Cricetulus griseus: one gene and its partner. The protein of the gene in region 1 interacts with the protein of each later gene in a pairwise test. Links are inferred from orthologs where the notes say so. Each region holds a gene or a part of one and is shown in the gene's direction. Other genes may lie near its edges.

Region 1 (6,337 bases):
GACTAATTTTTACAATAGACATCTTGTAGCAGCCTAGGTTATCTCCAGCAAGCAGTTTATACAGAAGCAAAATTATCGATTAGTCCCAGGACCCATTGTCTTGCAAGAACAATAGCGGCAGTAAAATTTACAAGGATAGACAGTTTCTTAAGATCAGCTTGACTCTTCCACTCACGAAAGTTATCTATCTTGAGCAAGTGCCTTGATGGTCTGTTTCACACACTAGCCGCTGACAAGCTGAAACAACTTTCTCATGGATTCTCTAAGGACAATAGCGTTCAAATTTTGAACATATTCTTCACTATGACAGGTAAGCTCATGAGCTAGACAAGTTTAGGGTAGACGGCAGGGTGAGAAGAGCTGAGAGGAGCCAGGATGCCAGCATGGACTCTGTAACTGGTACTTGAGATGCTGAAACAGTCTGGAGGCCAGCATGCACTTTGGTATGCTATTAGGCACCACGGTTAGCCATTTTTTCCCAGTTTCTTTTAGACCTGATGCTAAATTCCATTATGGAAGAGAAAATTATTTAGAACCATTTTCCTAAAGTCCAGGATAACAGAAACTACCACCACCACCATCACCATTACCACACCACCACCACCACCCTGTGGACTTCTTTTGAGAATTAAACCAGCAAGCAACAGGTCCTGTTCCATTTAAGAATTTCTAATGTTTTCTTCAAACTTTGCATCCTTGCAGCCTCTGCCACCCATTCAGGCCAATATTCGACCTTTTATTCCGTATCATTTCTCTATACCATCCTTTTCCCTCTTCGCACTCCTGCCTCCTCCTCTGCCTCCTTTTCCTTCCTTCCCATCCCCTGCTTCCTCTCACCTTCCTTGACCCTTTATTTCTCTTCATTTTCTCTCCTTTACCTGCCATCCACAACTGTCCTCTCTGCTTGCTTATCTCAGGAGACAATACACTGCGCAGCAACTGAGCCAAATGCTTCAACCCGCCATTATATAATTGCCTAATTCTTTGGTTGCTCAAATGTCAAAAGAAATAGATGTTGATTTAAGAAAAAACAATACTAATTGCTTTGAAAATTAATAAGACACACACACATAAGTACTTGCAAATGGTCTGCCCCAGTATAGTGCTCAATTATTTTCATCCGTTCATTTTATTTCTCACCCTTTCTCTTCCTCTTCAACAAAGCTCAGGGTATAGAGCAAAGGGATTCTAAATGGTGAAGTCCACAGCAACATCACCACGACTTTAAAACAAATATGTCCTCTTCAACCTAATCTCAGCATCAAATAATCAAAATTCTTAATCTTAACTTAGGTCCACTACACTATGGCCATACTACTGACCAATCCAGATTTTGCGATCATGTATGAAGATGCCTTTCTACTTGTACAAAAGCCAGCACTAGACATTCTGTTGAAAAGCCAGTGGTTTGTTTTGTATGACTTTGCTCTAGTGGCAGAAGTTGTTTTGCTGTTGTTTTGTTTGGGGGAAATACCAAACAAAACAACAATTTTTTTCTTTATGTAAATTAACCAAAGCTAGGTGTGGCAAAGCACAGCTGTGATCCCAACGCTCGGGATTCTGAGACAAGAAGATTGTGAATTTGAGCCCACCCTGGGCTACTAACAATAACCTGTTTCAAAATAACAATAATAATAATAATAAATATTCTCTCAAAAATCAGTAAGAAATTAGAGACCATTATGTTGAAGAGTATTACTCAAAGTGTGATCAGAGGGGAAGTCCTCATACTGTTTGCAATCAGTACAGAAATTGAAATGTTTCTAAACCTTTTCAGCACTTCGTTATTGTCCTAATGGTCAAGTCCTACTGATCGATAGACTTTTCTTATTTGAGAACCCAGCAGTTCAGATATCATATTACTGAGCTGCAGGAGGCTGGGGCAGCTTATTGGTAATGCATAAAGGATTCCCATGCTAGCCAGCCAGAGACAGAATGGAAAGGAGTAAAGAACTGCCCTTCTGCATCAAGTGGATTAAAAAGAATGCCAGCATTTTATGCCGTCGGATAATTGATCTGCCAATATTCAAAAGTTAATTTTTAAAGTAGAAACATCAAATGATATTGCAATATGTCTCATGAAAATTTGTGTATTGTCGCTAAGCTTTCATCTTTGAGAGTGCCCTGCCATCTTGTGGTTGTAGATGTTTCTATAACAGAGACCCATTATCTTAGGCTTAGCCCAAAGAACTAAAACAATCCGCCCCAGAGCAAGCGCTTCAAAGAGGCTTTTAAGCCCATTTTCAAAGAATGGAATGGACATTAGAGAAAGGAAAGAAAAACATTTTCCCATGTCTCTTCATGTGCTTATCAACTTACCTACTTTGGAGACTTATGTATCCCTCTCTGGCCTGGATGTCACCGTGTAGATCAGGATGGCCTCAAACTCATAGAGTTGCCTCAGCCCTCCAATTGCTGGAACTGAAGGCGTGGGCCACCACCCCAGGCTCACCCAGCTCTTGGAACAGGGCTTCACGACCTTAGACGTCTGCTTGATCTCAAAATGCTCTATGGGTGTGTTTAGAATGAATCACTTTCTACTCTGTTGTATTGGCGAGAGGGGCGGGGGGAAAGACCCTACTGTGTCTACCAAACATTCTCGTTCAAATCACGACAAAAAGGGAGTAAGTGAGGCTGTAGGTTCGAGCACACTAACTTTGGCTGGTTTCTAGAGGACAGGAAATACTGTGCAGAGAGTAGACGACTGAGAAGGGAAAAACCACAAATCCCAGGATGCCAAAGTGACAGCCTACAACTCCCAGCATGCTCGAGGAATAACAGGGCGACTGCGCAGATTGGCGCGCGGGTGCTCCTGGGACGTCAGCATGGCGGCGTTCGCAGATTTGGACCTAAGAGCGGGCTCGGACTTGAAGGCTCTTCGGGGACTGGTGGAGACCGCTGCTCACCGTGAGTCTACTGGCTTCGCCCCGCGAGCCCGGCCCCTCGCTGCCCCCATACCACCGGTTTGCTTGGTAGTTTTTCCAGGCCCTATTATTGGGTCTCTCGTGGGATTGCGGCATTTCCCTAGAGGCAAATGGTAGTTGCTATGTCTCCCGGATCCCTGGCGTGTGAAACTCACAGGCTACTGAGGAAGCTGCCGTTGCCTGGGCTTGCACAGTCTTTCCGTGCGGAGGGAGAGAACAGAGGCCAAAGGGGTCGAGGTGTTGGCAAGGGGGCTGTGAGCTGATGAATGGTAGGCTCTGGGACTGGACTCCAGGTGTACAGTCCCCTAAGCCGGTGGGTGCTTTTAACGTCAGTCCTTTTGGGCCCCGACGACATCTGACAAATACAGAAAGCTGGGTCGCAGGCAGGAACTGCTGTGGACTCTTAGAGAATGGGGAGGGTGTTACCTTATTTCTCCCGAGTTTTAAGTTCCTTGGGGATGAGCATTAATCATGTGTGCTGTCGCCTGCCATAGGGTCTGTCAAATAATGGATGCTCTAATAGCTTGAACTCGGGAGTTATTAGACTAGTTTGCCATTACCATGCACTATCTTTTATATTAATACTCTATCATCTTGTTGGTCTTTAGACAACTTAAAGACAAGAGTCGTGATTTAGATGTGTTGGCGACAGAGGCACTTTTCCAAGCAGTGCTAACTGTTGTGAGGATAAGGCAAACCGTCGTTTTCCCTGTCTTTTACTGTAGAGCACCTCAAAAGAGGTGTAAGGGATTCGTCCTTCCATTGCACCTTCGGGTAAGGGAGGAAATAGAGCATCGCAGAAGAAATGAATGATAATGAAGGTGACGGAAAGACACATAAACTTGATGGAATAAAAATGAACAAAGGGGCAGGAAATCCTGAGAATATTGTTTGGAAAGCAGAAACAAGGTGTTTTTAGTGTTTTGCTAGCATAAATCACAGCCTAAATATGTGCCTGGCACTCTTCTAAAATGCTTAATTTTCATGACACTCTGAAGTGCTGTCTGCTGTTAACATCACTTGACAGATGAACAACCTGAAACATAACAGTAAATATTATTAAACCCTCTTACTTTCCAAGTCTAGAAACAGAATCCAGGGCTTTGTGTATGCTAAGCAAGCATTCTAACACTTAGCTACATCCCTAACCTCATCTCATACTCTTGAACAAGAAAGAATATTTTTTAAATAATCTATTTTTTTTTCAGTTGGATATTCAGTTGTTGCCATCAATCATATTGTTGACTTTAAGGAAAAGAAACAGGTAAAATAAGATTTCTCTGATTAATTAGTAAATAAATATTAAGACTTTACAAGCCCAGCAGTGGTGGCACACGCCTTTAATCCCAGCACTCCAGAGGCAGAGGCAGGCAGATCTCTGAGTTCAAGGCCAGTCTGGTCTACAAAGCTACACAGAGAAACCCTATCCCAGAAAAAAATATCAAAAACAACATTTACAAATATTTGTATTTGTGTTGGGAATAAGGAACTAGAAATGTGGACTTGTTGCAATGACCACATACTTAACAAAAACAACACAAGGAAGGAGGAGTTTATTTTCTTATACTTTGAAGGTATGGCAGCAGGAGCATGAAGTGGCTAGTCACAGTTCCTCCTCGGTCAGGAAGCAGGAGATGAATGCTGGGGCTCAGCTCACTTTCTCCTTTTTAGTTAGTTCCCTTAGAACTCCAACCCATGAAATAGCTCAGTTTGCATTCAGGGTGGGTCTTCCCTCCTGGGTTAACCCTTTATGGAAACACCATTATAGAAATACAGAGGTGTGTTTCCATCATCATTTCTAAGTCCAGTAAAATTGGTAGTGAAGCATAAGTCATCACAAGCATGTTTGCGTTTTGAGACAGAATCTTATGTGTCCCAATCTGGCCTGGAATTCAACTGTGTTGCCAACGAAGACCTCCTGCTAAGATTACAAGCCCATGCCCAGTTTATGAGATGCAGGGGTAGAAGGCAAGGTGGTGTGCATTTTAGAAATCACTCTACCTCTACTTACTGAGCTGCCATGTGGCAAGTCTTCTCTGTACTGCTAGCTCCCAAATAGTGAGACTTCTTATTATGAAAACTTGGCCTTAGCTGAGGGTTGTTTCTAACTAGCTCTTATGACTTAACCCATTTCTGTTAATCATCGTGCTGCCATGTAGTTTATGGTTTTTACCTCTCCTCCTACACGTCATGCTTCTTCTGAGTCCAGCTGTGACTCCCCCTTCTTCCCAGAGTTCTCTCTGTCCAGAAGTCCCACCTATACCTTCTACATAGCTGTTGGTCATTTAATATTTATTAAAACACAGTGACATATCTTTACACAATGTAATCAAATACCTTGCAACACTGTGTCTCCACCCTCTCTACTCACTGGGCTGCATCCCCAACCCTCAACTATACTTCTTTAAAAACACCCTATGCTTACTCTTTTACAGTAATAACTGAACTAATATATATCATACAAATTCAAAGATGTTTAAAATTACATTGCTGTTAAATGAGCTATAACCACGATATCTTGTTACCATGGTCTTATTAACTCATTTACTGATTTTTTTCCCATTTATTTATTTATTTATTTATTTATTTATTTTTCCGAGACAGGGTTTCTCTGTGGCTTTGGAGGCTGTCCTGGAACTAGATCTTGTAGACCAGGCTGGTCTCAAACTCATAGAGATCCGCCTGCCTCTGTCTCCCGAGTGCTGGGATTAAAGGTGTGTGCCACCACCACACCTTTAATAGACTATCAAATACATATGTATGCATACTTATTTTTAATTAAACAACTGTACCTTATAGGTCATTTCTGTCTTTAAAAATTGTTCTTATTTTTATCCTCTGGTGTTCTGAGCATCTTCTCTGCTCTTTAGTTTCTTTCCTTAAGAAAGAAAAAGGCTGTTTAGTACATTTGAATACCAGAAATTAGCTTTTTTTGATTTTTTTTTTCTGAGATGCCCTTAAAGTGTTTTGTAGTGCTTAGTTCTTTAACATGTAACTAGGATTGCTGTTTATCATTTGTTGTAGGAAATTGAAAAGCCAGTAGCAGTTTCTGAACTCTTCACAACTTTACCAATTGTACAGGTAGGCGTTTTAGTGTTTAAGTGTAGTGTCTGCCCATTTAATTCAAACATCTCGCCTTCCTGTGGTGTTCTCTGCTTTCTGCCAGTTTCACCTTCCCATCAGGGCTCGTCTCTTCATCAGTTTTTACTGTCCATCCGAACTTTTTGGTATCCTTCCTAAAGTCCCACAGCTATTAAATTATCTCATTGTGTAGTTTACTAGATGTGCGTAGTATTCTCTTCTGCTAATATATATTCCTGTAGAACAAGCATGCTTTGTTGATCTGTACCGTCCTCTGTAAATTTTACTATTTTGTACTGGTTAAAAAAAGAAACAAATCAATTGCATTTTAT
Region 2 (6,448 bases), on another chromosome or scaffold:
ATTGGGCTGTAAACTGGGCCGTGGCGGTGGTGTTCACCTTTAATCCCAGCACTCAGGAGCAGAGGCAGGCGGATCTCTGTGACTTTGAGGCCAGTCTGGTCTATAAATCAAGTTCCAGGACAGCAGAGCTGTTATATAGAGAAACCTTGTCTCAAAAAATAAAACAAAAAAGATCTGGCTGTAGGCTAGTCTGTAGAGCTAATTAGAGATTTATGGGGGAGGACCCAGCCCATTGTGGGTGGTGCCATCCTTGCACTGGTGGTCCTGGGTACTATAAGAAAACAGATTGAGTAAGCCAGTAAGCAGAACTACTCCATGGCCTCTGCATCAGCTCCTGCCTCCAGGTTCCTGCCCTATTTGAGTTCCTATCCTGACTTTCTTCAGTGATGGACTATGGTGTGGAAGTGTAAGCTAAATAAACCCTTTCCTCCCCAACTTGCCTTTGGTCATGGTGTTTCATCACAGTAATAGTAACCCTGCATAAGACAAGTAACCGTGTACTTACTTGTGTGTTTTGGGAAGGGCTGAGGAAGGCTTACAAACATGTATGAGACACCACGATAGAAAGTTAAACATGCCGGGCGTTGGTGGCACATGCCTTTAATCACAGCACTCGGTGGGCTGGAGAGATGGCTCAGAAGTTGAAAGCACCGGCTGCTCTTCCAGAGGTCCTGAGTTCAATTCCCAGCAACCACATGGTGGCTCACAACCATCTGTAATGAGATCTGGTGCCCTCTTCTGGTGTGCAGATATATATGGAAGTAGAATGTTGTATACATAATAAATAAATAAAATCTTTAAAAAAAATCCCAGCACTCGGGAGGCAGAGGCAGGTGGAGCTCTGTGAGTTTGAGGCCAGCCTGGTCTCCAGAGTGAATGCCAGGATAGGCTCCAAAGCTACACAGAGAAACCCTGTCTTGAAAAACCAAAACACACACACACACACACACACACACACACACACACACACACACACACACACACACCCCCACACACACACACACAAATTAATGGTAAGTGAAATAGGATGGACTGAGAGCTGTAGTGGTTGAGTTAAAAGATAAAGATTTTCCACGAAATCCTGCATGTCACCAAGTGTATGTGACCAGATGGAAACTGACTTGGTATGTATAATTAAACATAGATACTTTGAAGGTGACTGATAACCTAAGAGAGCTATTTCAGACTCATAATTCATAGTGTCTGTTAAATATGCACCAGCTTCTTACAAGACACCTAATTCCTTCTACTGCCAAAAGAGTTTCTTACAACTCCTCAAGGAAGTTGGTGATGATCTATCTGTACAAGAAGTGAAGAACTGGATTCCAAGCCAGTTCTGGCAACTTCCAAAATCCAAACTTTTTTTTGAGAAAGAAAATGTCACTATCTAGTGTCAGTGTTAGTTTCCTCCATTTATTCCCCATCTGAAACAAGTCCTGTCCCCCCTGAGGGGGAAGGAGCAGAAGCCACATGACTACAGAGCATGGCCAAGACAAGAATGACAGAGTTTTAGGAAACAACAAATATTAGGTTCTTTTCTCAGTTATAGAGAAGGCCCCAACTGGCCTAGGCACAGGATTGGCTGTGCAAGGCATACATTTTATGCCCACTGCCATGTCTAGCTCAGGCCAAATCAAAAACATTTTTAGTAAGTACAAGCTGAGTGACCGCTGGTACCAAGGCATACAAGGCAGTGATAAGCCATCACACAAGTCCCCACACACAGAGATCACCTCAGACTCCAGCTGGTTTAAGATGGTGTAGTCTGGACATTACTGGCCAAAGCAGATAATCTGTAATACCACTTGTAATCATGATGGGGTGGGGGCAGATAATTTAACCTTTCCCTATTGGGATAATAGCTACCCCAAGGTTGTTTGAGGGTTCCATTAGATAACTTAGGTAAAATCTTTTGTACAATGCCTGGCACCAAGTAATATTAATTTGCTATTGTTACTATTAAATACACACTATATGTCACACATAGAGAGGGACTATACCTTATGCTCCTGAGCTCCCACCGCCCAGAATGGCGGCTAGCACATAGTGAATTCAGAACAAACTCTTGGTGAGTAAATCAAAAGTGGAATAACTTACATCTGGATACAGGAGCAGCTAGATCTTTCCATGTCAAGACAGAACTGTGTGATAGGAGCCATAAAGGGCCACTGACAGTGGATCTTGTCTGGTGCCTGAGAGATGTTCTTGAAGAGGACAAGGCTTAGATTTAGCTTAGTGGTGGAGGACTTGCTTAGCATAGATGAAGCGGTGGTTTTGATCCCTGGCACAGCGAAAGAAGAAAAAAACAAGGAAAATAATCTAAGAGAGGAGATGTTTGATATAAACTGTTGCAAATGAATGTAGAGATAAATGACCACGAAGATTGCTAGCGCCTAAAAAACATGCCACAAATGCAAGTTCCGGAAATGGGCGCCAGGGGGCGCTGAACCCATCGACCTCAGCCCGGCTGAGGACCATGCCACCGTCTAGGGGGCCGACGCCGAGCAGTGATGTCACTTCCGCTTGCGCGTCGCGTCTGTGGGGAGGTGCGGGGCGGAGGCAAATGTAAACACATCACATTTGCAGGCCCAGACTTGGGCTGCTGCGTGGGAACTCCGACCCGCGCCCGGTTCTAGCAGCGCGCAGGAGACAGGGACGCGGCCGATCCAGCGCCGCCGGAGCCTCTTAACGGCCCGCGGCCTGTGCGGGTGCGCATGCGCGAGGCGGTGCGGCTGGCAGGTCGGTCCGGGTTCCAGACGGCGGGGAAGGTTGAAGGTAGCGCACTCCCCTCGTGGTGGGCGCCAAGTAGATGGCGGTTGTTGTCGAGCAAGATTGCAAACCGCATAACTCTTAGAGCAGTAGGGGGCCGGGCTTCTTCCACGGCTGCTTTGCTCCCATGAGTCCCAGAGTTGTGTTTCGTGTGCTTCAATGTGCAAGGCACGTTTGAATCCGGTAGAAGCCATAGGGACTAAACATTGTTTTTCGGAGTACAGGCGTTGTGAGAGGCAGGAGGAAGGAAGTGGAGATTAGATATTCTGTAGTTCTGTTAGAATTTAAGGGTTGCAAGGACTGGGCAAGGAGGGGTTGGCGCCATCGTAGATCAGATTGAGCCGTGGAACGCATTGAGTAAGATGAAGGAGGCTAGGAAGTGTGAGACACGTGGCTACCGGCTTCTGGGTTGCAGAGAAACTAGTCTTAGCCGAGGCCAAGAGGAGGAGGAAGCCTAGAGTGTTAGGTCTCACAAGATTCCTGTTCTCTGGGTAGTGGTGGTGCACGCCTTTAATCCCAGCTCTCGGGAGGCAGAGGCAGATGGATCACTATGAGTTCGAGACCAGCCTGCTCTACAGAGTGAGTTCCTGGACAGTCAGAAGTCTGTTACACACTCTGTCTCGAATACCACCCCCACCCCCAGAGGAATTCCTTTTCTCCGGTCTGGCACTTAGACAAAAGCTGCCATTCCCTCTGGAATTTAAGACAGTTGAGTCATTCTCCACTTACCTCTGGCTAAAGGTTCACTGGGCTCCTCTTTTAACCTATGACTGTGGTGCTTATTAGCATATCAAGGGCTATGCTAGGCCCCCTCAGTCCCTGCTCACAAGTACCTATTACAGTTATTCTGGCTGACAAGTCCTGCTCCCTCCCCTAACCACCTCAGGCCCAGCTTTTCGTTCCTGTGTAACTCAGCTATTTGATTATTAACTCAGCTCTCTTGGTTCTTCTCTTCCTCTTGCTTCTCTTTTTTTTTTTTTTTTTTTTTCTCTTTTTGGTTTTTCAAGACAGGGTTTCTCTGTGGCTTTGGAGGCTGTCCTGGAACTAGCTCTGTAGACCAGGCTGGCCTCGAAGTCACAGAGATCTGCCTGCCGAGTGCTGAGATTAAAGGTGTGTGCCAGCAACACCGGCCCTCTTGGTTCTCTTGATTATTCACACCCTCTTTTGTTTCTCTTTTGTCCTCTTGGTTCCTCTCTCTTGCTGTCCCTGACTGTACATGAGGTCAAAGCAGGACCTCAAAGATTTCCACCCTACTCTGCATAAAATCAGAAGCATCACTACGTCTGAGCAGAGTTGTGATATGAGGCATTTTGGGTTTTGTTGTTTTTTTTTGGGGGGGGTGGAGTGGTGATGGTTCAGGACAGGTCTCTGTGGGTAGCCCTGGTTGTCATGCTGTCATGGATCTGTAGTAGGCTGGCTGGAACTCTCAGAGATCCACCTGCCTCTGCCTCCTGAGTGTTGGGATTAAGGGCATTTAGCATCACCACCTAGCTGTGATGTGGTTTAACACGTTCACAGCAGCCATATAGATTAGAGAGGGGGGCAGAAGATCAAAACCAAGTAACTTGCTAGCAACATCCCTGCAATCAGAAAAAGGTATCAACAGTGACTGTAAGAGGTATACATCTTGAACCTGTTGAGTATGATGCCAAACTACTGAGGACGATACTAGATTTTACTCTGAGAGCTTAAGACTATACAAAGTGACTCTTTAAGTCATCATTTTAAAGGTTAGTTTATTTTTATTTAATTGTATGGAGGATTTGCCTGCATTTGTATTTATGCACCATGTTGTTGCAGTGCCTAGGAAGGCCAGAGGAGGGTGTTGGATCCTCTGGAACTGGAGTACAGACCCTGTGGGTACTGGAAACCCAGCCTGGCTTCTCTACAAGAGCAGCAAGTGCCCTTAAAAAGAGTAAAATATACAGTGTGTCATTTTAACTTTCTTTTGGTCATTAAGGAAATATGCATTGTCATGTGACCATTAACCACCACCATTGTCTAACCAGGGTTACATAAAGTACTATAATAAGTCTTTAAAAGTCAAATAGGCTGGATGTGCTGACATTCTAGCTGGTGATCTCTGTCCTTCCTAGAGAAAGGCAGGAGGATCAGTTCAAGGCTAGCCTTAGCTATATAACAAGTCTTTCTCAATTTAAAAACACAATACTACTACTAATAATAATAAGGTGTATCTGGTAATTATGAGCGCTCTTGACTCCTTGTAGGAACTCCATGTTTGAAGATGCCAGCTACAGCATATGAAAGACTAGTTTACAAGAGCCCCTCGGAGTACCACTACATGAAAGTCTGCTTGTAAGTTCAGTCTTATAATGTTTCCCCCCACCCCAATCTGAAAAGCATGGAGTTTAATATGATAATTTCTCTTTTTAATATTTTTTTTTCCAGAGAGTTTCAAGAACACGGAGTTGGACTGAATACAGCCCAATTCAAACAACTGCTTGTTTCAGCCCTGAAGGACCTGTTTGGGGAGGTATGAGTTACTTGGCAGATTAAGTAAGATTCTTTAGGTTTTCATAAGACATTCTAGAAAAGGGACTAAGAGTATATCTAGCCCAGTGGTGAAATGATGGGTCATACCTGTCACTTGGGCACACACCTATCATAATTCTAGCATCTGTGATTCTACCCCTGGTAAGTGAAAGTAGAATAAGAATTCAAGGTAAACCTCCTCTACATAGCCGTTGGAAGTCAGCCTGTCTACATACTTTTTTAAAATGAAGAAAACTTTGTTGTTTGTTTGAGAAAAGTTCTCTGTATATCCCTGGTTGTCCTGCAGTTTGCTCTATAGAACAGGCTAGCCTTGAATTCACAGAACCACCTACTTCTGCCTCCCAAGCACTGGGCTTAAAGGTAAGCAACACCACTCCTGGCCTAGAAGAGTACTTTGTAAGAAACACAGAAATATCATCTTTTAAAGGTATACTGGAATTTGCAAAAGCCAACTTTCAGAAATAATGAGTTCTGGTAGGTTATTCCAGTGTGCCCTGTATTGACAAGGAACCTGGTAGGCCACGGTTTGTTTTTGCACAGCTATCAAATTATAGTCTAGATTGGTAATATCATTGCCCATCTTTGTAAAGATGAAGGGTTTATATGGGAGCTATCACACTTGAGTGAGAAGGTCTCTTTATAAAGCAGTGTGAGGGATGGCAAGATGTCCTGAGTTCAGTTCCTGGAACCCACATGGTGGAAGGAAAGAGCAGACTCTTGAGAATTTTCTTTCACCTCCACACATGTGCAGTGGCTCATATATAGTGCTCATATATAGATACATATACATATGTGTGTGAGCAATAGACCGCTGGTACATGTACATGCTAGGACACGTGTACATGTGGGGAAAACACACATAAAAATAAATAATTAGTTTTTACATTCCAATCTCTGTTCCCCCTCCCTGCCCTCATCTCCTCCCACTCCCCCGTCTTCCCCCCCCCACTTCCACCCACCCCACCTCCCATCTGCTTGTCAGAGAGGGTAAGGCCTCACCTAGAAAATCTGTTAAGTCTGTCCCATCATCTTGTTGAGGCAGGACCAAGGCCCCCCCACACCCCTATGTCTAGGTATCCTGAAGAAATCTCCTGTGTGTTGGGAGGCAGAGGCAGGTGGAGCTCTGTGAGTTCGAGACCAGCCGGGTCTACAGAACTAGTTCCAG

The links.
Region 2: the proteins of Rpp30 (region 1) and Rpp14 interact in binary tests that used the Homo sapiens proteins (3 or more experiments, as listed by UniProt). The link is inferred for Cricetulus griseus from reciprocal best matches to the Homo sapiens genes RPP30 and RPP14.

The regions. Positions count from the first base shown.
Region 1 is NC_048596.1:25,690,367-25,696,703, reverse strand, and holds the start of Rpp30 (ribonuclease P protein subunit p30), read left to right. Parts: upstream 1-2,759; 5' UTR 2,760-2,825; coding exon 2,826-2,907; intron 2,908-4,132; coding exon 4,133-4,188; intron 4,189-5,948; coding exon 5,949-6,005; intron 6,006-6,337. UniProt on the Homo sapiens protein: Component of ribonuclease P, a ribonucleoprotein complex that generates mature tRNA molecules by cleaving their 5'-ends. Also a component of the MRP ribonuclease complex, which cleaves pre-rRNA sequences.
Region 2 is NW_023276807.1:76,004,449-76,010,896, forward strand, and holds the start of Rpp14 (ribonuclease P protein subunit p14), read left to right. Parts: upstream 1-2,511; 5' UTR 2,512-2,714; coding exon 2,715-2,775; intron 2,776-2,792; exon of another isoform or gene 2,793-2,937; intron 2,938-4,997; coding exon 4,998-5,085; intron 5,086-5,178; coding exon 5,179-5,263; intron 5,264-6,448. UniProt on the Homo sapiens protein: Component of ribonuclease P, a ribonucleoprotein complex that generates mature tRNA molecules by cleaving their 5'-ends.